2 linked regions of the Cricetulus griseus genome follow. The protein of the gene in region 1 purifies or fractionates together with the protein of each later gene. This does not show direct contact. Links are inferred from orthologs where the notes say so. Each region holds a gene or a part of one and is shown on either strand. Other genes may lie near its edges. The genes, in order: Rab3gap1 and Vapb.

Evidence for each region.
Region 2: the proteins of Rab3gap1 (region 1) and Vapb purify together in Homo sapiens (affinity purification with mass spectrometry; 4 studies listed by BioGRID and IntAct, counting the BioPlex papers as one, with this or other methods). This does not show direct contact. The link is inferred for Cricetulus griseus from reciprocal best matches to the Homo sapiens genes RAB3GAP1 and VAPB.

What each region holds. Positions count from the first base shown.
Region 1 is NC_048598.1:60,890,452-60,902,851, reverse strand, and holds part of Rab3gap1 (rab3 GTPase-activating protein catalytic subunit), read left to right. Parts: intron 1-853; coding exon 854-946; intron 947-2,044; coding exon 2,045-2,211; intron 2,212-4,652; coding exon 4,653-4,742; intron 4,743-5,323; coding exon 5,324-5,496; intron 5,497-6,896; coding exon 6,897-6,951; intron 6,952-7,185; coding exon 7,186-7,557; intron 7,558-11,085; coding exon 11,086-11,223; intron 11,224-12,400. UniProt on the Homo sapiens protein: Catalytic subunit of the Rab3 GTPase-activating (Rab3GAP) complex composed of RAB3GAP1 and RAB3GAP2, which has GTPase-activating protein (GAP) activity towards various Rab3 subfamily members (RAB3A, RAB3B, RAB3C and RAB3D), RAB5A and RAB43, and guanine nucleotide exchange factor (GEF) activity towards RAB18.
Region 2 is NC_048599.1:5,238,662-5,251,061, reverse strand, and holds part of Vapb (vesicle-associated membrane protein-associated protein B/C), read left to right. Parts: intron 1-5,216; coding exon 5,217-5,369; intron 5,370-12,400. UniProt on the Homo sapiens protein: Endoplasmic reticulum (ER)-anchored protein that mediates the formation of contact sites between the ER and endosomes via interaction with FFAT motif-containing proteins such as STARD3 or WDR44.

The sequences.
Region 1 (12,400 bases):
GAGAAACCCTGTCTCAAAAAAAAAAAAAAAAAAAAAACCAAAAAAAAAGAAAAAGAAAAGAAGTATTATAGAGTATTGTAGGATAACAGGGAAAGAAAATGATATATAATCATATTGTTACTTTTATGATTTAATGATAAAGGATATTGGTAACATTGAAACCTATAAAAAGAGCTTAATATTATGAAGTACATTTTGTTTTCCTTTCCTTCTAGAAGGAAAATTTCATTACAGAAATAGAACCATCTTATTGAGAATGAAAGTGCTCCTGAGACTGGGAGCTGGCTAGTGAGCTAGGGGAAAGCTTGACCCCAAACAGAAGGAGTACTGAGTAGAGAGTCTGCTCTGTCCCCAGATGGAGAAAAGGAACAAGTCCACTTCTGAAATGGGCAGTTTTTTTTTTTTTATCTTCCTCAGAGCAAAATAGATCTTTCCCCCCAACCATAGCTTTTAAGCCTAGGGTTTCTATGTATAGTCCTGGCTATTCTGGAACGCACACTGTAGGCTAGCCTTGAACTCACAGATTGACCTCCTCCTGACTCCTGAGTGCTGGGACTAAAGGTGTGTGCCACCACCACACTATATCTTATCTTATAGCTTTTATTAAGAGAGTGTACGTAGGCCAGGCGGTAGTGACACATGCCTTTAATCCCAGCACTCAGGAGGCAGAAGCAGGTGGATCTCTGTGAGTTGAAGGCCACCTGGTCTACATAGCAAGGTCCAGAACAGCCTCCAAAGCTACAGAGACATCCTGTCTTGAAGAAGAGAGAGAGACAGAGACAGGTGTACTTAAGATGAATTGATTTCTTGGAGTTAAATGTCAAAAATGAGTAAGTTTTTTTTTTTAATGTAGGTGATTTTGTCACTGAGTTTTTAAAAATTTGCCGTCGAAAGGAATCAACTGATGAGATTCTTGGACGATCCACATTTGAGGAAGAAGGAAGAGGTGACATAGTTTTCCTTTTTTACATTCTTTTTAAAGCCTTGCCCTTGCTCTTTGGAATATATTCTGACAACTTTTTATCTGAGTCAAGTTGGAGAAGCAAGTGTAGATGGATTGCACACATGCCTTTCTTTCCAGGCTGTACCCAGAACTTGTTAAGACAGCAAATGCATTTAATCAATTCTTGCCACAGAAAAACATAGTAATGTATTTTGAAAAGCAGAATTTTAGATATTCATGTTTGAAGTCCCCCAAGGAAAAATAATTTGTGTGATTTATCTCTGACACCACACTTCCATGTAAAGCTGAACTTGTGAGTCAGAACTTTAAATTTTATAATTCTGAAAGCATGTAATACTTGTGTAAAGAAGAACTCAAATGTGAATGTCATCATTGTTGTGCCCAAGTTGCGAAGATCCCCAGAGACCACCAGAGAGACAGACCCACTGAACTGTAAAAGCAAGGTTTTATTGTTCATCCAACCATGACAGGGACCCTGTCTGGCTTTCTGATGCAGCAGCCACCAGAGGGAGCGAAGTTCCCTGTCTACTGCTAGGTTTTAAGGACAAAAGCTACAGGATTACATCAGTAGGTACGGGTTGGTTTCTGATTGGTTGACATTTGGGAACAATTAGGAGAATTTCTCAAAATCATATTTTGGCATGAAATACCTGTCTACCAATTATTCTCATTGGTCAGTGCTGAGAGGGAACATTCTGTAGTTTCTATGGCTTTGTCTTGTTACTTGCAGGTGGCCTGTTGTTCATAAATACCAATAGTTTTCAGAACTGTATCTTGGAAGTCTCCCCTGGAGTTTTTGGTCTTCCCTGGAGTTTCTTTTGTGGCCAAACAGTTCCTAGGAACCAAGCATCTAAGAGGCTGGGGAGGGGAGGTAGTGGCTGGAGTTTTTTTGTTGTTATTGTTCAGTTTTGGCCCGAGGATCTGGAGTTTTCCTTATGTTAGAGGCCTACATGTTTTTTCTGTAGCCTGTTATGGCTGCTAAAGCAGGGGCTGAGTGAGGGTCTGGTCCCTTCAATCAGTTTACTGATCACTTTCCTACCACTTTTGGTGATATAATTTGCATTTCTTTCTGCATTGTAGAAGTTGCAGATATAACTCATGCTCTGTCAAAGCTGACGGAACCAGCACCAGTTCCAATTCATAAATTATCAGTTTCAAATATGGTACATACTGCAAAGAAGAAAATACGGAAGCACAGAGGAGAAGAATCACCACTGAACAATGATGTTCTCAATACCATTCTCTTGGTAAGTGCTACCTCGATTTTGTTTGTCTGCATAAGCATGTGCTCATTATATATTCAGTTCCTTCTTTATGGCAACCACTGGATTGGAAGTGTAAAGTGTAAAACACAGTTCTACATTCAGAGACCATTACTAGTTAGTGGGAAGAAGAGAAGTGGAGTTACAGTCAAACAGGACAAGGAGGCAGTAAGAAGAGAACAGAACGTGTTGTGTGTGTGCGTGTGTGTGTGTGTGTGTGTGTGTGTGTGTGTGTGTGTGTGTGTGTGTGTGTGTGTGTGTGTGTGCATGCCCGTGTGTAGCTACGTGTGTACTAACGTGCATAATGGGAGGTCTAAAGAGCTTCCTAAAGAGCACTGGGAGCTAAGTCAAGAAGCACAAGACTGGGCACTAAGGTTTTACTTTGTTGCTGCCCAAGGACATGTTGAACAGTGGTGTTTGTAGGGTAAGGATGGGCAGGTAGCAGGAAACCTGCATGATGCGGCACTTCACTTCTGTCTTACAGTCTAACACTGCTTGAAACACATCAGTTTGTGACAGAAATTGAACTTTCAAAATGTTCTTATCAGAACAGTCTAGAAAAATCTATACAGTAAGGACTAGAGAGGAAACAAAGAAGAGGGTTAGGTGCATCCTAGGTATAATGTAATTGGATTGGGTGCAGCCTGGGAACCACAGAGCAGAGAGAATACTGACTTCCCACAAGTACCGACTTGAAACAAGTCACTGCATTTTTCTCATCTCTCATATGAAGCCGATAGTCCAGCATGATTGCCCTCACTTTTAGTCCTAGCATTTAGGAGGCACAGGCAGGCAGACTTCTCTGAGTTCTGGTGTACATAGTGAGTTCCAGGACAGCCAGAAATGCATAATAGAGAGACCTTGCCTCAAATCCCCCCTCCCCCCACCAAAAAAAAAAAAAAAAAAAAAAACAGGAAAAAAAGGAACTGGAGAGTGTTGTAAAATTAAAGGCCATGTGTGGTACTTTCTGGCATGTAATAGATCTTTATTTAATGATGGTTGTTTTTATTGTAACTATACTTATAATATAGTCTTGAGGGAAACTCTTCAAGCATAGTGTAATGAAGGGAAAGGGAATGCTGTATGTAGATCCGATGCTGACCTGAGCATATGTCTTGCCATTTTTTCTGAGCAAAACTCTTAGAGTTAATCTATAGCTGGTACATTATAAATGTAGGTAAGACGAGAATGGGATAGTGTTTGTAAATGTCCCTCTGCTGGCTCTTAGTAATTAGTAGTTACTTCAATAAGTCTGTTAAATATTGGCTAAAAAACTAAAAAGTCTGAGCATGTGGCAAAGAAGACAGATTATTGGGTAGCAATATCAGAAAACAGTTTGGATACTAATAAAAGAAAGTAATTTTCTGTATAGAAGACTCCTTAAAAGTGTGTCCTTACAACTTGGTAAAGTGGTGTAAGCCTAGCACTTGGAAGGCTAAGGCAGGAAGGTCATGAGTTGAAGTCCAGCCTAGGCTTTATAGTGAAACCTTATCTTCAAAAAAAGTAACCTTAAAACTTTTCAAAGTGCACTGGGTATTGGTGGTGCACGCCTTTAATCCCAGCACACAGGAGGCAGAGGCAGGTGGATCTCTGTGAAGGCAAAGCCAGCCTGGTCTTCAGAGCGAGTGCCAGGATAGGCTCCAAAGCTACACAGAGAAACCCTGTCTCGAAAAACCAAAAAAAAAAAGTTTTCAAAGTGCAAATTATATAGTCATCATCAGCACTGAAACCTCCCATCTCATCAGTGTCTGACTAAAACCCACACACACCGAGCCTAGAGAAGATACATAGGTCTTTCATACCATGCCTTTAGTGTTTCATACACGAAAACATGTGGATGATCTTACCACTTAAATACAGGGGTGCTTTTAGGTTGTCTGTTAGCTTTGACTCTAAAGATAGTCACATTTTTCTCTTACACAAGGTAAACATATTACACTATTAAATCTATCTATATATGTATATTTGAGTATGGAATCAGTGTGATGAGATTTTTGCTTCTGTGTTGCTCAGTTTGCAGAATCAAGTGGTTATTTGAATGCAGATTTTCTGAAATTTGTGTATTACTGAAAAAAATTTCTTTTGACTGAATATAGAATCAGCTGGACATCACAGTAAGAACATTTCTATAATTTTAACAGCAAATCCACTGGAAAGTCAGACAGTGTCTTCTGTGGGTTATAAAAATCAACAGAATAGCCAGGTGTGATTGGTGGCTCACACACTTATTCCCAGCACCCGGGAGGCAGAGCAGGCCTAAGATCTCAGTGAGTTCTTCAGTATCCTGGTCTACATATTGAATTCCAAGTTAGCCAGAGCTATATAGTGAGACCTTGTCTCTCAAAAAAGAAAAAGAGAGAGAAAAGAAAGGAAATAAAAAAATCAGCAAAGCAGGCAAGTTTAACATGTATTATTCCCTTTCCCAGTTTTTGTTCCCAGATGCTGCTTCTGAGAAGCCACCGGATGCAACTGCTTCAATAGACAATAGCAACCCTCCACCAGAGGGTGAAGACTATGTAAGTTGAACTTCAACATTAAAGTATTTTAAATGCACTTAATTTCTAAAGTTTTGCTGAATGTCTAGTGTGGCAACCTAAGTATCTCTTCATTTTAAAAACTATCTTGGAGTCGGGCAGTAGTGTCACACGCCTTTAATTCCAGCACTCGGGAGATAGTCAGGTGGATCTCTGTGAGTTCAAGGCCAGCCTGGTCTACAGAGTGAGTTCCAGGACAACCAGGACTACACATCGAAACCCTGTCTTGAACCCCACTCCTCCCAACTCCCCCCCCCCCCAAAACCAAAGTCTTGGGAAATTGAGTGGAGTTCACAGTCACTCAAATAATGACCTGCTTAGGATGTTTTACATAGATCCCTGTTTGGGTAGCAAGAGCTTTTAGGAGACAGAAGATAATAGCATAAGTATACTATGCATAGCTGTCAGAGTCCCCTTATTTTAGAGTTCTTGTCAAATCATTAAGTTTGTTTTGTAGCAGATTCTTATTGGTTAACTATGTGATTCTTCTTACATGCTTATTGTTCATGTATGCAAATTTGCTGTTAACAGGGTTTTATTTGTTTCTCTTTTGTTAAATTTAGACTCTCTACAATCAGTTCAAATCTGCGCCCTCTGACAGTTTAACATACAAACTGGCTTTGTGTCTTTGTATGATCAATTTTTACCATGGAGGGCTGAAGGGAGTGGCACATCTCTGGCAGGAATTTGTTCTTGAAATGCGCTTCAGATGGGAAAACAACTTTCTGATTCCAGGGTAATAATTTTAATTTCCAATTGTTTGGGTAGTTTTTTAGGAACCCTTCCTGAAAAGTAGTAAGAAATGTGGATACAGCTTCCTCAGAGGTGTTCAGTGCAGTACATTTATAATAGGAGAAAAGGCCTGACAACCTGTCAGTAGAAGAATTGTTCAGTTGTGCTGCCTGTCTACGGTTTCCGTCAAAGTCTGTTTTTTTGTTTAAGTGGTGTATTGGGGATTGAACCTAGAGCCTCATACATGCTAGGCAAGTGCTCTATCACTGAACTATATCTGAAGCCCTCAAGAACCTTAACCCAGAAACTGTGTTGGGCATGGTTGGTGGCACATGCCTATTTCCTAGCACTCAGGAGGCAAAAAGGCAGAGGCAAGCAGATCTCTGAGTTCAAGGTCAGTGTGCTCCATATAGCAAGTTCTAGGCCAGTCAGAGCTATGCAGTGAGACCCTGTTTCAACAAACAAAGGCATAGAAACTATATTACTGATTAGGTGTGGTAACACCTTACAGAATGCTTTCAATTATGCTGATATGTAGGTGTAGGAAAAAGATTGGAGAGAAATACAGTTAATAGTTTTCCCAGGTGTGAAAGTACTTTTTTCTTCTTTGTATTTCTTTATGCATCCATATATATTTTATTATTTGAAGGAAAGTACCTTTAAAGGGCACTGTAAGTTCATGCACTAAACATTATTTAGAATCTTTTTATATGGACACTTCGTCCGTCAATTGAATAGACCATTTACTGAGTATTCATGGCCGTACTTCTAGGCTAATGCTTGTCTACCTGTGTTAAACAGAAAGTCATGTGACTAGTGGAAAATGGCTACTAACCCAAAAGTGCTTGGTGTTAGGGAGTTTGCCAGTCTGTTTATCTGGATTTTCTCTTGGCTGTTACTGTTTTGCTCTGAAAGTTACCACACATGCAGAAGCACACTGAATGGAAGAACCTAGTGATTTAGAACCAGAGGGAGGCCAGGATCTCACTGGAAAAATAGAGATAGAGAAAGACCTTGGTTTGTGTAATGAGAATCCACCTAATAATTGAAAGATGAATGCATGGCTGACTTTAGTTCGTGTGATGTGCAAAGCACTGTACACTAGTTACTTCCTGTGGTGGGTTTAGAGACTCAAGTTTCTAATGAGCTTGGAAGCTGTTGGGAGTTTGCCCTATGTTTCACATGTCTTTTACATTTGCTGTTGATTGTGAGCTATGAGGATAAAAGTAAATTTGAACTTTTAGTCATGTGTACCCTCCTGGAATTTGGCTTTCTTATGTAGAAAAATCTAGTATTAGCTTCTTGACAATACAGCTAAAAAATATGGCCATGAATAAGTAGGCTTGTCTGGTATAATTTTATTAAAACTAAGCTTTTATTTTTCTTTTTTCCTTTATTTGGTAGACTAACAAGTGGACCACCAGATCTAAGATGTTGTTTACTACATCAGAAACTACAGGTAACAGTTTCCCCACAGCTGTAGCAGTGTGTACACACACACTTGAAGCTTAAGCTAACACTTAAGTGTAGTAATGGCTTATATAGGCTGTTTTCCTTGTGCTGCTTCTGGGTTGCTTATAATCCCTATAATTCTTAGCAAGGTCCTGGGAAAGATTAGAAAGAAATACCCAAGCAATTGATACATTTTGCTTTTTACTAACTCATCCATGAATGTTATTTCTGTTTTCTTCAGATGTTAAATTGTTGTATTGAAAGGAAGAAAGCACGTGATGAGGGGAAAAAGACAAGCCCTTCAGATAATGTAACTAATGCATATCCAGGGGATGCTGGGAAAGCTGGAAGCCAGCTAGGCCTGGACCATCTCAGAGATACAGAGAAGGAAAAGGGAGAAGTGGTGAAATCCTGGGACTCCTGGAGTGATAGTGAAGAAGAATTTTTTGAATGCCTCAGTGATACTGAAGACCTTAAAGGAAATGGACAGGAGAGTGGCAAGAAAGGAGGCCCCAAGGAGATGGCAAACTTAAAGCCAGAAGGACGGCTGCACCAGCATGGGAAACTCACATTGCTGTATAATGGAGAGCCTCTCTACATTCCGGTGACCCAGGTATGTACACAAGGCTTTCAAATTCAGTTCCCTTTTGTTATTGATTAATTTCTTCCCTAGTAGGAGGGAAGATTGCTTTTGGTAGGGGAGATTTCCTTAAAGCCTGTTTAGGTTTGGAATTGAAATGAACTGTGGAATTTCTAGGTCTGTCACTCTGAAACTGAGTGGTGTTTTGAACCTTTAGTAGATAGCACTCACCTTAGATACAGTGACTTATTAATTCTTTGAGAATTCCATGCAGTGTGTTTTGATCATACTCTCCCTCACCTTCTTCCCCTGACTTCTAGAATCTGTACCTTCCTTACCCTCCTTAACTTTGTGTCCTCTTTTTTTTTTTTTTTTTTTTTTTTTTTAAATAGCCCATCAAGTCCAGTTTTTTTGCCTACATACTCTTGGGTGTGGAGCCACCTACTGGAACATGGTTGGCCTACTAGAAGCCACACCCTTAAAGAAAAACTGACTCTCTTCTCTCTGGGAAACCATCATCTGTCCATGGCTCCTTACTCGTGGGTGGGAGCTCATGAACCCCTTTCCACTCCCTGTTGGAATGCTGACTGACTTGATCCTATGCAGGCAGCTGCAGTTACAGCTGCTGTGAATCAGCGAATCAATGGGTGCAGGGGCCTAGTCATTTCCAGACACGCTATTTTGCTTTTGTCTTCTCTTGTAGACTTTCTGTGCCCCTCTTCAACAGTGGTCCCTGAACCCCGTAGAATGATTATTTCTTAAACTGAGTATGGAATACTCCAAAAATATGGAATGGAAAGAACAAAAATAATAGTCCTTTAATTAGGATTATTTTTATTTCTTCAAATATGTTTTAAAACCATTTTATACCATTAGGACAGAATTCAGTGTCTAGGAAAGAATTCATTTTTGGTGGTTGGTTTTTGCATAAATGATATGTGAATACCTATTATTCTAAAAAAAAAATCAAGCTACTGCCTATTGGTTCGGCTCTTATCCTCAGAAGTAAATATTATTACTATTTGAGTTATGTTTCTGTGCATGAATATATACATATTGATATTTATGATTTGATTTTATTTCTGAATATGAGCACTGGTATTCAGCTCTTTGTTTATCCCGTCTTGATGCCATTATATGTATATCTGTGCCATTTCTTTGTAATTGTTGCATAATATTCTAACACATGGAAGAGCTATAGCTTATTTAATTATTCCTGTCAATCACTGTGTGCATATCATTCACAAGGTTTTGCTCTTTTAAATGTCTATCCCTGCCATTATTACATAAGAAAAGTGGCATTACTAGGTAAGTAGATAGATGCTCTCAAGGTCCCTTTAAAGAGGTCGTACCTGTTTTACATCCTCATCAGTGGTAAATGAAAGGGTAAGGAAAAATTAACTCTCACTCTCTCCCTTTCTTATATGATGAAATGCTTAGTATGTGCTAACAGCTTGTAGCTATGGCTTCAATAAGGTTCTAGCACTGAAATTACTTATATTTTACTTCACTTTCATAAACTACATTTCCAGTCCATATCATTGTCAGTAGTATACTGACATAGTATCTTTTATTTCCCTGACTTTTTCCTTTTTTGGTTTTTTGAGAAAGGCTGTACTATGTAGCCCTCATCACTGTGATGATCAGGCTGGTCTCAAGCTCATAGAGATCTGTTTGCTTCTGTTACCTGAAGGCTGATTAAAGGTGTACACCATCACTGCCTGGCTTTCCTGACTTTTGATGAATCCTTCAATGTTTATTGGCCATGATTTCCTGTGAATTATATAATGAAATGTTTTCATAGCTATTACTAAACTGTGTCTCTAAGTGGTTGATCTAATTTCTATCCTATCAACAATGTATGTGATTATTGTGTGTGATCCCTTTCACTTGATGTGTCAGGGGTCCATATAACAGTAATAAGTAAATAAAATATAAATGGGATTACTTGTATTATGTGTTCACAGAATAATACAGGATTGTACTGATTAGTTTTTGTCAATATGACACAAACAAGAGTCACCAGGGAAGAGGGAACCTCACTGGAGGAATTGGCTCTATAAGACTTTTTTTCTAGGTGAATGATTGATTTTGGGACGCTCAGCCCACTGGATGGTGCTCACCTCTAGGCAGGTGGTCCTGGGTTGTATAAGAAAGCAGGCTGAGCAAGCCATGAAGTGCAATTAGCTGCAAACAGCATAACTCCGTGGCCTCAGCTTCCTGCCTCCAGGTTCTAGCCCTGAATTCCTTTAGTGATAGATTTTGACTTGAGAATTGTAAGATAAATAAACCCTTTCCTTCTCAAGGTGGTTTTGGTCAGTGTTGCCATGGCAACAAAAACCTAAGGAGGACAGAAATATTCTTGGCTTTTGATGTGGGGAGAAAGGGAAAAAGATGAGTCAGGTCTCATGTAGTCCAGGTTGGTGTTGAATTCACTGTGAATTCATAATCTTAAATCCCAGATCCTTAGCCTCCATCTCCCAAGTGCTAGGATTATAGGCATGTACCATCATGCCTACCTACATTATGTGTTTATATGGCTAATTCTTTCCAGCACAGTTTTATTTTGGATTCATGTATATTACTGCACTAGTGGTTCATTCGTGTTTATCATTTAATAATTTTTCTTCCATGCTGTGACTTCACAGCTATAGAGATAGTTCATTAATAGCAAGAGGAAGGCCTCTGCTCTGAAGTGTGCTGTTTCAGTAGAAGCTCATGTAATTTGTAAACCTGTCTGCCTATAATAATTATGTTTAGTTTGTGGGAGAGACTGAAGTTTATATGTGTTTTACTTATAACGGCTAGTGTTTACTAAGTGTGTGCCAGGACTAAGCTTTCAGACAACCTCTGAAAGGAGTGAGGTTACATAGTGGAATTCCAGTATAAACCTAGCTTGGGAACTGTTTGTCTGAACCAGTGTGCCATCCTGCCTCACCAATCATTGTCCACCCTGTATGTCAGTAAGTCTTACCTGGTACTTAATTGTTGTTCATTCAAAGTGATGGGTGATAGCTGTAGAACAAAGAAAACTTCCTGTCAGAACTATCATTCTAACATTGATCAGTTGCAGCCTGTTTTTTTGCACTAAAATTTTACATTAATAGGCAGAAACATGTGCCTTAAATGCCAGTCCCTTTTTAGCTTAGCGTTCTTGACAAGGGAAACTTGGTAGTCTTGTCTGTCAGGGATAGGAGACCTGACCTGAGAGTCATTTATATTCTCTCTCTCTCTCTCTCACACACACACACATCTCGTTTGTCTGTCTTTTTAAGACAGGATTTCTCTGTAGCAGACTGGCCTTGAATGCCTAGATATCTACCTGTCCCTGCCTCCCAAGTGCTGGGATTAAAGGTGTGTACCACCACTGCCTGGTGAATCATTTATTCTTAATTTGTTACTTTTTTAAAAGGGAGGATTGTTAAATTTTTACATTTCTCTGAATTCTTTCAAACTTGTATGCTGTGGCTACATGACAGAAACAATTTTTTATTTCATTTTTGAGGTTTTCCTTTGTTTAAAAGGGGCCACTGGTGACTTTTGTCCTTCTGTGCTTCACAGGAACCAGCACCCATGACTGAAGATCTGCTGGAAGAGCAGTCTGAGGTCTTAGCTAAATTAGGAACCTCTGCTGAGGGGGCACACCTCCGCGCACGCATGCAGAGTGCCTGTCTGCTTTCCGATATGGAGTCTTTTAAGGTGGGTCACACTTTCAGAACTCTGGGTCTATTTTCAGCTATTCTGGGGTGAAACTGTGAAAAACACAATAAAGTGATATGAAGACTGTGTCTTTTTTTAGTGTTTGGATTCATTACTTGTTACAAAATTCTACCTCAGCACCCAAAGGATATATCAGACTCAATTCTTAGGTTTGACAAAAGAAAATCAACCTGCTTTCCAAAGTTGAGAACTGAATAAATTCTCTCTGTGTTAGGAATTTTTTTTTTTTTTTTCATTTGTGTGTGCCCAACCAATTTAAGGCATTTAGGAAACTCTTGGGATTACAACAAACATTTGTGTGCCACACACTATGAGTAGGTGGGGGAGATAAAGTATTTAGTCAGGATCGGAGAAGTGACTGACTTGTTGACCATTTATGGGGAGTTTCTAAGAAGAGTCAGTATTTGTTACCTGGAGGGGGTTATTGTGGGCTTGGATAATACTTGGTGTACAACACAAAGCATATAGGTAACAGTGACATTTGAGTGTCCTTAACCATAACATACTACATGATTCAATATCTGAAACTTTAATTTTATGTGTATGGCTATTTTGCCTGCATGTATATCTGTGCACCATGTGAGAGCTGGGAATTGAATCAGTGTCCTATGGAAGAGCAGGTGGTGCTCTTAACTGCTGAGCCATCTTTCCAGCCCCCAGTGTCTGACACTATAAGTAGAAATTCCACACTATACAAAGTTATTTAAGTCATTTATGTGTGTGTGTTATGCATGAAAAGTAAATGAATTTCATGTTTAGATTTGATTCTGAGTTCATATTGTGTCTCTAAAAATCCACAAATCTAAAAAAGTTCAAAACACTCCCAGCCCCATGTATTTTGGATTAAGGAATACTCAACCTGAGTGTGAAAAATAACTCAGATGGGGAGGCCAGTGGGCCAAAGGCTTCCCAATCTACTCGTGAAGTTCTGAACATTTTCCAGGCCTCTGTCTTCCTGGTTCATAGCCCTTCTCAGTCCACATTTGCCCTTTGCAGGATGGCCTGAGTTTGATTTCTTTCTGAAATACTGTTTTCTTAAACATAAGCACTGTATGACTGACTACCTTTTCCACTTTCTTCCCTACCTGTTAGGAGGTAAGTGATAAAAAATGGGGGGCCCTGTGAGAATTTTAAAATAACAGAAGTTTGTGACTTT
Region 2 (12,400 bases), on another chromosome or scaffold:
GCTGCATTGGCTTCAGCTGTGCTGGGAAGCAAGTGAGGACATCTCATTGTTTTCAAGTGACAACACCTCATTGTTTTCAGCCTGTGTTCTTCTAGGAGCATCTTCCCATGTGCCCCCTGCCCTCTGCCTGTCTTTGGTGGGAATTCTACATCTCTTTTGTTTATTTTCAAACCAGGTGGTGTGTTCAAGAGTTTTCCATATGTTCTGCAGATGATCCTTTATCAGGCCCACCGTCTGCAGGTAGCCCTCCTGCTCCATAGCTGGCTTGTCCTTCCAGCCTGTTGGAATGTCTTTTGCAGAGCAGATGTTTTTATTTGACTTTTCAGTGCTGGAAACGGGACCAGGGCTTCTTGAGTGTTAGGCAGCAGTGCTCCTGAGAGTCCCAGCCCAGACCACAGGTTGGGAATTTGAATGAAGTCCAACCCGTTCACTTCTTTCTTCCATGGATTCCACCATGCTTGTTTTTCCTAAAAAATCACCCAAGTCCAAGTCATTTAGATTTCCTTCCATGCTACCTTCCAAGAGTCTCATTTAGGATCTGTTTACTTATTAATTGCAAAACAGTGTCCCACCTGTAGACTTGGCTGGCCTGGAACTTACTGTGTAGACCAGGCTGGCCTTGAATTCACAGAGATCCGCCTGCCTCTGCCTCCCAAGTGCTGGGATTAAAGGTGTGTGCCACCATGCCCACTATATTAGGCATTGCTAATCTTTATTTTCTAGTAGAACTGAATTGCTGTGTTAAAAATAAAATGCATCTTTACCATTTCAGCATGCAGTCTTGCCACTTACCAGACAGAACCCTAAGACACACTTAAGTCTGCAAATGAGAACATCCCAGGCTGAGCCCTGAGCTCCTTCTGCTTTCACCATGGCCCTTACAGCTGCCAGATATGGACCCTTTAGCTGCTGTCTTGCTGAGTTGGAGTTTGGGTTTCCTGACAGGAGGAGTTCTGTGTTAATGATGCTCTCTGTGCCACCACAAAGTGGTCAGACCTTGCAAAGGTTCAGGGAGCACTTAGATATTACCCGAGCATTTCCTGATTCATAAAATTACCCAGCTCTCTTGTCTTGTTTTGTTTGAGACAGGATCTTACACCGTAGACTGGAATTTCTTGTTGTGCATTGTGTAGTTCAGGCTGACCTTGAACTCACAGCCCTCCTGCCTGGGCCTCTGTGATTGCGGAGGGCCTGGCTTGAATCTGGCTGTCTCTGGAGAGATCTCAGCACCTGGAACTTGAAGATAGTGTTTGAAGTCTGAACTTGTGTCCTGTGACCTGCAACAGAACAACCATTCTCCCCATCTACTTTTGTGACTATGAACATTTCTTCTGGGTCTGTGTTCTTTGCTTTCTCAAACAAGGAATCCAGACCTTACTTTCTTAAGTAATTTAAAAAGACGGAGAATCAAGCCACAAGGCCTGGGGAGGGTGCGGGGTGGTTTATGCCCTGCTTTGCTGGATCTAATCCCTTCAAGAACAAGTGGAGGAGTTCATATTCTGTTAGTTAATGCTGTTTCATGAGCATCTTTATCAACCTTAATAAATGCCCGCAGGTGCACACAGCTGTAACGGGGAAGGAAGAACCCATTCAGCCTGTTACAGAGAAGAAAAAAAATGTCAAAGCATTCTGGGAATTTACTTCAGGTTGAGGTTGCTTCACCGTGCTCATTCATGCTGGAGATGTGTAGTTTCTAATTTCACACAGACATCTGGACCAAGGGATAGATGGCACGGAAGAAAGTAATTAAAGGAAGCGATGTGTTCCAGCTCTAGAGACACAAATCATTTTTTTTTCATCTCTTAAAAGAAAAAAGCTTAACTTTTGAAGATTTCATTTGTAAAATTGACTTTGTATTTTATAAGCAATGTTTAAATTCATTGGTGATAAATATGCGTGTTTGCGGAGTAAAATCCCATTTTTTACATAATGCTTTAATGGGAATGGCAGTTTTATGAAATGGAAGTGACTGGGAAAGATCTGAGTGAGGCTCATAAGCCTTCCCATCATTTTTATTGCGGTTTTTGTGCGCTCTAATTCATTAGTACGGGGGAAGGAGAACACTAACATGGTTTATCTCCTGTAATTACTCAAATCGAATTTATTTTCAATAAAATTCGTGGAGTAAATTGCCCAGAGTGGGGCGAGGAGGATTGGCCTGTTTTTACAAAATGCCTTGATTTTTACCCATGAGACTTTGCTGCCCTGCCAATGATGTCTGTGCTGCATCTATTTCCAGCATGGCTCCCTCTAGAGTTTTACAAATGAGTGCCCAGACCCAAGGCGGGCGCTCGGGGGGGAAACGCTACTTATTTCATCCCACTCTCTGTTACCAATATCGCTCATCTTTTAATAATTTAGATCATCTTTTATGTGATTCATGTAAATTGAAACAGCATTTAGATTGCCACATAAGGGGCGGGCCCGGAGAACTTGCCACGTTTGTGCTCAATGGAATCTGGCTCATGTGTCTGGAGTCCTACAAGAAGCTGGTGAAGTCTCCACCTGGGTTCCCGGCCCAGCTTTATGGGAACAGAAGGGGAAGTCACTAGGGGCTGGGGTGGGCATCTTCAGTGTTCTGCTCGCCTGTGAGGTATCTCTATGTCTGTTGTGTATCTGGTATGCCCATGTTTCCACACTGTAGAGGCAGATCTCCTCAGAAAGCTTTGCAGCCTGCTCCTTGGTAAGTTCCTGGGTTATGTTCAGATGATTCTCTACAGGGTCATCTTTGAATCCCAGATGTACCAAAAGATGACCTTCAGCTTCTGGTCCTCCTGCCTCTATCCTCCCAAACTTGCTGTTGGAAACAAGCCCTTTAGGGTGTGCGTGTGCGTGTGCGTGCGTGCGTGCGTGCGTGCGTGCGTGTGTGTGTGTGTGTGTGTGTGTGAGAGAGAGACTTTGTCCTCCAGGACCCCTGGCTGCCTGAACACCTGCGCTTGCAGAGTGGTGTTGGGTGTGTTTATGAAATACCCGCCTGGCCAGTTGTACCATGCAGGCTTGTAGGTCTTACCACTTTCTTTGGCCCTAGAAAACCAAAGCTGTTTTTAGCTCTCCTTTTTATAGACGGTGCTCACTTGCAGTGATCCCCACCTTAAGTAAAGGGGGATCAACCTTCCCATCTTCCCATGAGTCAGCCAGCATGCGGTGGAGGTGGGACAGGGTAGAATTCCCATAAGTCCCTGGATGTTCTCAGCACAAAGTGTCTCATTTCTCCCTGGAGGCCAAGAACTTGTTGCAAGGGTGGTGCCTTGTCAGTACCCAGCTCTTGCTCCCTGTGGCTGAAAACCCTCTGGGCACAGGTTAGCTGCTTCCCATATGTTCCCAGTCGGGGAGCTGGGTGGTTTTCTGTGGAATCACTTCCAAGTCCTTCAGGAAGTCCCCCTGTTGGCTTTCAGCCTGGTTGCTAGAGCTAGAGGAGGGCTTCCTGAAAGGCAAGGTAGGCAGATGGAGACATTGTCTTCAGGCCTTTTGATCTCTGAGGTGCTCCCCATAAATGAGAAGAGCTTTTAGGACAAGCGCTCCTCAGTGGGTGAGGCATTGAAAACATGCATCCCGCAGTCCCCCGAGCTGTGGAGAGCAGGGAAATGGAGCCACAGGGCCAGTGGGGTAGGGGCTGATGGACCAGCAGGCACTACAGCTGAGGGCTCCTATATGGAGGTGGCTCTAGGCTTCCAGCCCACAGTTACTGTGTGTTTGCGGGAGGCTGAAGTTGGATGAGTGACTGGTGACCATGTGTGAAGAAAGCAGCAGAGCCCAGTAGCCATGTCAGCGACAATGTGTTTTGCACAGTGAGGTTCAGCAGGTACCAATTGTCTGGGGCTCCTTACAGACAAGATTGTGCATTAGCAAATGTGAAAATTGTCTTATGCTCAGCGTGTCCCCTGATGTGCATATCTACCCCAGTTGGACAGACTGGTGCTGCACTATGCTTGATTTTGGACTCTAGCCTCTCCGCCTTAGTCCACCATTTGTGTTTAAGCTAAGCTTGTATTCAGTTGATCTTTCATACCCTGAGTACCTCAGAGGAAGCCAGCCTAAGGCACTTGCTTTTCTGGAGATAATCTGTGAGTAGTTTTCTTCTTGGTGTATGTGTCTCAAGACCTTTACTGTATCAAGGCAGAGTGTGGGGAATGGAGATGGACAAAGCATAACCCTGCCCTCAGCCGCTGAGGGTGCATTTCAGAGCACATCTCTGAGAGTCTGTTGGGGCCTCTGACATGTGACAGGTGAGCCAGTGGATATTCTTTGTAACCACGGAAACACATTCCCCTCCCCTGCTTCCTTATAAATGTGAGGGTGGAACTGAAAAGCCTGCCTATAGGAAACAAAGATGTGGCACTCACGGGAAACTGGGCAGACTGGATCTGGGACTGGGGTGTAGCTCAGAGACTGGGTACATGCGCAGGTCTGGGTTTGCTCCATAGCAACACACAGACGTGAACACACAGGCGCATGTGCCATGACAGGAGGTCCTGCCGCCTCTCTCTCGACCTGACCCCCTTGACCCCCTCATAAAGCCTGGTGGTGAGGTGTCCACTGATGAGCCAGTGAGAAGCAATAGTGCAGGCATGTCCTGTGTACATCGCTCCTAAGTCTAGACGGCTGCACGAGCTCCCACATGGTTGGTTAGTTACCTCAGGCACAGATGAAGCTTATTAACTTCTCTTTATACATCTTTCATTGTTTGGTTTGTTTTAAGAAGCGTGTTTTACTTTTTTAATTAAAAAATCTAATAAAGTAGGAAATGAACAGTAATAGTAATAAACAGTAACCCAGAGCCACAGAACGTCGTTCCAGGCTTCCCTGAAGCCTGATGCTTAGAGTTGCTAGCAGGCCTCTGAGTGAGGCCAGCTGTCCTTGCCGTCGAATTGTTAGGGGTTTTCCTCTCTACAGAGTCCTGCTTGCCAGAGGCCACCTGCCACTTGCCACCTGGTACACTCTGCTCTTAATAGTCGCTGGGGACCCATGCCTGGTCCTCTGTATAGTTTCTGCCAGATTCCATAGGGGTTTTGCAGAAGCGAATATTGAGCACAGGTAACTGTTGTTGTATTTGGACTGTCTGGTTCTAGATCCTGTCGTTCATACAGGTCTGCTGTCTTAGCTATGCTCTCTTCACAGCTCCTTCCGCACCATATCTGTTATCTCTGTCACCAAACTAGTCTGTCTCCTACACTTTCCTCACAGGACCCCAACCAGCTGTCTGTCTCTCCATATAGGTCCCTTCACTGATGTCGTTACCACCAACCTAAAGCTTGGCAACCCAACAGACCGAAATGTGTGTTTTAAAGTGAAGACCACAGCACCGCGCAGGTACTGCGTGCGGCCTAACAGTGGGGTCATTGATGCCGGGGCCTCTCTCAACGTGTCGGGTAAGTGCTGACTCTGGAGGTCATGGGTGGGTTCCAGAGGACCCCTGCCTAGAGCTTTGTCAGAGCAGGTATGTTCAGGACAGTGCAGACTCCTCCCCACCTCTCCCATCCCACCGTGGGTAAAAGCTTGGTTGGTACCACCCTCGACTCTCTATAATCCATGTCTCTTTGTTTTCGTGCTTGCACTGCCTATGCCTTAGTAGGGGAGCAAAGTTAAAGCGGTGGCTTTAAGCCTGACTTGAGAGTAGGCACCTCCATTCTTTTGGAGTAGAAAGGGACTAAACAAGCTTCATTTTACTTTGTGGGAGAATACAAGATAGAGTTATTTTCTTTATGCTAAAGGATTTCCGATAGTGCTCATGTCTAGTGATTGGAGGTGCCCTCTATTCACTGAAGCTGAGGAGGTGGGAATGTAGTCACGGTTGTGGGGCCCTGTGTGTTCTAATGCCCCCCCAACCCCTGACCCCCAATCAGGGTACATGTTTTCCAAAGCCCAACCTCTGGAAAGAGGCTGATGAGGTGCCCAGATTGAGAGCTGGTTTTCAGAATCGAGGCGTGAGTGATGTGTTAGAGTTTAAATGTGTTTAGAGAAGCGGTGGGTTTGCAGCTCATTAGAACTGGTGATGCTCAGAGGGGCTGTGGGGGAGGATGTGTCCTTTAGACACCATGACTCAGTGTCCCCCACTTCTCATTTGAAGTGAGCGCCTGTCTGGGTTTTTCCATGACGGACTTTGATTGTGCTGCATCTGGCTGTTCACCTGACACCTAAGAGAAAATGACTCACCTCTTTGGAAAGATACAAGGTGTTTCATTATCTTGGACTCTGATTCCTCGCCTCCGTAGGTGCCTCTCATCATAGAGCACCCACCCCCAGCTCCCCCGCATGCTCCTCTCTGAGTGTGCAAGGCCTGGTCTGGACTCCTGAGTCAGATCTTGGGTCAGGAGCAGTTAGCTGGCAGCCAGCGCTGGTCGAAGGGTTCCCCCTGCCAGAGCTCACACGCTGCCACCATTTGCACTGTGCAGAGTGCGGTGTCATGTCCGGTCCCTGTCTGTTTTTGAGTCATGAAGCGGGTGTGTGGAAGAGCCAGCGCTCTGTGACTGGTGTCCTAAGAGTAGGAACGGTCAGGGTGTGATTGCTGCTTCCTCCATGTGTCTTAAACTTTGGCTGGGATTAGCGCAGCTGGATCCTTCTGTCCTGTCCCTGTTTTGTGTGCTGCCAGAGGGCCTTGTGTGGCTGAGCTTGTCGAAACCCTGTTCCTTTCTTTAGCCCCATCCCCCAGCTTCCTTACCCATAACACAGCCTAGAAAATTTTGAGTTTATCAGCAGATGGAAATCACCAATTTTCATAGGAAAATAGCAGCCTGGTTTTCTGAGTGAAATAATCTCAGCAGATAGGTAGTGTAGGTGTGCCTGCTGATGTTACAGGTAATTGTGTGCGTGCACATGCATACGGATGTGTCTTTCACCAGGAGCAAGGCCTTCCTAGTCTCTGGAAGGTTGTGAGAGTCCTCAGGCTCCTCAGTGAGGGCTGCTTTTGTTGCTATGCCTTCCTCTGCAGATCAGAAAGTAAGGAACTGGCATGGATTCGATCCTTCCCTGTCACGTGACTGTCAGGCAGCGCTTGGGTTAGAGGCAGATGGTCTTTCTATAGCACTATGCTGCTGCCTCACCAGGTAGGGGGTGGCTGCCTGAGCATGAATCTGAGATTAGGGGGTGGGAGAGCAGGAGGGCTGCTTGACTAAGGAGACGTTTGCAGCTTTCCCGTGAGAGAGGGTGGCACATGGAAAGTTTCTGTGGAAATGCTCCTGTCTGTCCTTGGTGGTGGCCTGAGGGCCAGGAAAGCCATGTAGTCTGTGCAGCCTTAGGTTCTGGGTGTGCAAATGCCGCACTTTAGTCATGCATATCTTGGGTGGAGAAGCACTGTTCTTGTCCAGGCCTGGGTCTCGAGGAGTGCAGCCACTGGGGTGATAGCATGGTGCGTCAGAGCCCCTAGAGAAGGCAGGTTCACGGGCAGACTGCTGTCCCCAGTGTGCTCACACACATACTTGTTGCTTCACATGATCTGTCATTGTGCCTGTGACTGACATTTGCCAGCCTGGTCACCTCTGTACACTCTAGTGTTGTCCCTGTAAATGCAAAAACAGCCAGGCTTGAATGGAGACTGAATTGTATACTGTTTGCATTGCCTTAAAAAAAGCAAATGTGTGGCCCTCCTGAATTCCTATAAAACACACGTTTATGAGTGAATTTTCACCCACAATTGACAAGATGGTGACAGTCAAATGAACTTAAGCCTATCACCATGGTCCTGCCTAGCACCCAGAATGTCACAGGACACCTGGAAAGGACAGGGCTACTGTACTCTCCCTCCCTTTCTTAAGACCCTTGGAGGCTCTAGCTATTAGAGGAAACTATAAATCATCTCGTAAAGAGGGGGGAGGAGAGGGGGAGGAGAGGAGCAGAGAGATAGAGGGTTGGAGGGGGTGAGAGTGGTGATGATAGGCTGAGGCTTAAAAGGCTTTGTGTCCTGCATCTTGGCTGTGACAGGCATCCGCAGTGGTCCTCAGCCACACCCTTGATTGCCTTCCCAATGAACCTGAAGTTCAAGGGACCTTACATCATGCTTCAGAAGCTCAGGCTCTGACGGGCCGCATTGCTTCCTTCAGAACACAGTGAATCCATGTGCGTGAGGCTCCTTTCCTTAATCTAGGCAGCCCAGTCACAGTTGGGCAGAGGCATAGCCCAAGGTTCTATGCCAACCGAGTGTGACCTGTGGACATTCCTGGAGAGCTGCTCTGGGCCTTCCTTTGTCTTCACAGCTGTAGACCTTGGTAGTCTGCGTGCTGTAGTCCGCAGCACAGCTCGTGGTCACTCCCAGAGTGCCACAGATGAGACATGTGTCCTTGATGAACACTGACCTTGTGAGCTGGGCTTGCACCTTGGCAGCCCAGGCATGTGGAGATGAGCATTCTGGGTCGGGGGTGGTGGTGGTGGTGGTGGTGGTGGTGGTTGAGTTGTTCCCAGAGATTTCAGGCACAGGGAGGGTTGGACCTTTGCCTTCATCACTGGTGAGAAGCAGGTGGGAGTGGCCCATTCTAGCTTTATAGAATTATCTTTCAAACTGTATAGTAGAGAAATATTTTTGATGTGTGTAATTTCTGAAGATGTCTTTGTGGAAGGCTGTTAGCAGTGGCAGATCTTGATCTTGTTTTTAATGTTACAGTTTAGTAACAAGGGACTTTTCCATTAATATTCCAAACAGTGTTTGCCGGCATGCGCAGCAGGTGAGGTGGTAGAGTTATGGGCCCATCAGAAATACTGAGGCTCCCTGTAATCAGACATTAAGTTTAGTGTTTGTATAACCTCTGTGGATTCTAATCCCACAAAGTGGTGAGCGCTTTCATTTGTAGTTTGGTTACCCCCATTGCCTGCCCCTGTGCCAAGTGCATTACACGTGCAGAGCGTCCATGGGGGGTGTGGATAGAGTCATTACAGACGCCAGTCTTTAGGTACAGATTCTCTTTACTCAGTGTGCCCTGGGATTGAAGATGGATTAAAGCCAAACATAGGTCTCCCAGTATCTTGAGTCCGTATTTTAAACTGAAATCCAGAGCATAGAGGGGCAGCGTAGGTTTCTGACAGCCCCTTCAAGACTCCTTTTTAATTCCATTGAAACTGTAAAGTTCTTCCAGTAACAGAATGGATGTCAGCATCTCCTGGGATGGTGACATTGGTCTGTTCATATCATTGGGTAGCATTGGAACTGATTATTAATCTGTTTAAGATGGTGCTGGCTTGGGGGGATGCTACTGTTTACTGGCATTGAACTGGCCTGCTGTGGGCTGCAGCATGCAGGTGCTGAATCTCAGGGTCAAGGTGCTCCTAGCCTGCTGACAAAGAAGCCTGCTGTGCATCTCCCAGTGTGCACAGGAGAGGCTGCCATGGGGCTTTACCTTCCTTGGGCCCAGCCGTTGCTTGAGAAGGCTCTGATAAGTGTGACTTTTAACGAGAAGTCTTCACTACTCTGAGATAAGAACAGCCTACACTGCTGCTTAAGATAAATCCCTAATCTTTTCACCAGATTAGGTTATGGCCTAAAATATTTTACCAATAAAATTCAGCTTAATTGGGCTTAAAACTTTCGAAGGTTGCTGCAGGCTGCAGGGTTCTTAGGGAGACTATCCCCATCCTTTACGGATGTCACCGAAGGGCAGGACCCAGGGCCCTGGGCAGGGGATGCTCAGCTGGAGGGCACCCTTTTGCATTGCAGGGTGATTCAGGAGTGCAGTGGTAAATGCCTCCCCAGTCTGGTCCTTTCAGGTGATGCCCTTGGCTCCCCTAGGAGTCCCATCCTGCTCTTTCTAATCTCACCAAGCCACTCTGGTCTCTAGCTCATTGCAGAAGGCAGGGCGAAGGCTTGAGAGGCAGCCTTGGGAAAGGAGGTAGCAAGAGTACCTGGTAGACTGGTCGTGAGTGCTCAGAGAACAGGCCAGAAAGAAGATGCTGGGTATGGGAAGTCCCCTGGGTGTTTCAGATGGTCAGCCCTCAGAGGTTTGATGCACAGGTCTTACTGAAGAGACGATGGGGGTGGTGGGGTGTACAGTTACACTGGGAGGCCCAAAGAGAGGCTAGGCTGTATCCTCCTGTTCGTTACAGCACATGAAGGAAGCTGAGAAATGAGGACTGAGTGGCCCAAGCAGCCTGTAGCATACCTCCTTTCTGCTGGTCCTGCAGAAAGGGTAAAGTGTGCACTGTGGCCTCTGCACAGACAAGTGGAGCAGGCTGCCAGGTGCTTGCTACCTGAGCCGAGAAGCCCACAGGGGATGCAGTTAGATCGACAGTCCTCTAATAACCAGGAGAAATTAATTATTCACCTGCTAGACTTGGGCAGTAGAGGCCCAGGAAAGTAGTCACAGGTCAGCATTCTGAGAGCCCTGAAGGAGATGATGAATTTACTCATGGTGAGGGCTGAGGCCAGCGGCAGTGTCTGCTCCTGTATCTCAGGCTGGAGTCCCACCATTACAGCTTCGCCTGCCACCTTCAGCTGATAAGAATCTCATGTTTGCTTTGGTTTAAAGCAGAGCAGTGGTGCCATCATTTCAGAAATGCAGTGTGGTAGGTGGACCGTGGTCTTCTGACAAGCGGACTGTGCAAGGAGGGAGCAGGCAGCAAGAAGAGATGGGAGGAAGAGAGAGCAAAGAGGAGAGCCTGTTGGGTGAGGGCAGGAAAATCTCTTCCTTTGAACATTTCTATTTATTATTATTAATTACTACTGTTGTTGTTATTTTGGGTTTTTCAAGACAGAGCTTCTTTGTATATCCCTGGCTGTCCTGGAACTTGCTCTGTGGACCAGTTAGTTGGTCTTGAACTCAGTTGCCCTGCCGCCCAGTTACTGGGATGAAAGGCGTGTGCCACCACCACTGAGCTCCCTCTAAAGGGAGTGTGGTGTAGGGTGCTTGAAGTTAGGAGGGGAAGAGGGTTCACACCACCAGCCAGTGGGTGCTCATGAACATGTAAGTTCCACAGACACCCAGCCCTTGACTCACTTTGACTAGGAGAGGCAAATCGGCAAGACAGTGCACATGGGGGTTGTAGAAAGAAGCTTTGGTGAGTGAGCTTCCCTTGGCAGGGACAGGCGGGGCACTTTCCAGCCATGCCTGTGGCTTTCAGAGAAGAGTACAGCCCAGTTCTCCAGGAGCAGGTTCTCAGTGGGACCCCCGCCAGCAGATTCTATTTCATTGGCTCCTTTGCAATTCTGGTACATCCCAAAGTTGGCTGACCTTCCTTCAAAGGACATCTAGGATATGAGTGTGGTGAGGGGCACCACAGAAATGAGGGTAGGTTTTGGGAGTGGTGGAGAGTGTCCCAAGGTGCAGGACACGGAGCTCGATGCATGCTTGCCGATCCAAAACCAGGTCTACTGGCCGAGGAGGGAGGAACTGGTGAGCTGACTATCTTCTACTTGGGCAGCAGCAGCTGTTATAGATAGCTGTGATCCGAGTGCTGGGGGCGGGGGTGCGGCGAGCCTTCCTGGGTCTAGAAGGGACTAGTGCACAGGCTAATCTAGTGGGAAAGAAACAGGGAGAAAGTTGGCTGGGAGGAAGAGAGTGAGTGGGTGAGTGAGTGAGTGAGTGAGTGAGTGAGTGAGTGAGTGAGTGAGTGCCAGAGCTGGCTGTGTCTTGTTGACCGTGGAGACATTTCTAGTTGAGAACTGACTCTGGGCAGTGTTGCTGTCTAGACTCCACATCTGCCCCCCCCCCCCACTGTGGTGCAGATGAAAATGGTCTGTGGTTGTCCAGTGCCCTGGAAGCAGCTTTCATACTGTATTTAGTTGGGTTGTCATTTTCCAAGCCAGTGTGTGTTTTCAGCTGCCTGTTTCCTTCTTTTGAAGGAAGTCTGGCCTGATCGATTGGTGCCTCGTGACCCTGAAGGTTCTTCACAAGGGCCCCACTTTCGTGTCTAATGCAGCAGGCTCCGTGTCAGGAGCTGGGTGTGGGTGAGGGGGTGACTGAGCCTAGGTTGTCTCCTGGTAACCGGCTTCTTTAATGTTCTGTCAGCAGATGCGTTCTGAAAGGAGGGACGGTTCATGCAGGGTTTTATCATCAGTGTCTCTGGTATTTAAATGAAATAAATTAAGTTAATGGGAAGCTCTTTTATAGCCTGTCATGGAAAAAGTACATAATTTGTGCCACAATTTGCAATGAACTAGCACTGACCAACATTTATTCCGTCATGTTCTCATAAAGTTTCAGCTGAAACTGGATTTGACATGTGAGACAGTGGTGGCAGCTGAGGGACAGGAACTCGTCGGTGTACATGAGGGGCTGTGTGAAGCATGTGTACCAAGGGTGTGCAGACTCAGCCATTGGGAGGCAGACAGCTGCTTCTCTACTGGAGGGGCAGATCCCCACATGGTGCCTGGAGCTGCCCAGACAACCCCCTTCTAGAGGCCCTGGTGCCCATTCCTGCCCGAGGTTCTCTGGTTAGCCCTGCCAGGGCCCTGAAGTACATGTGTGCTGACACACAGGTG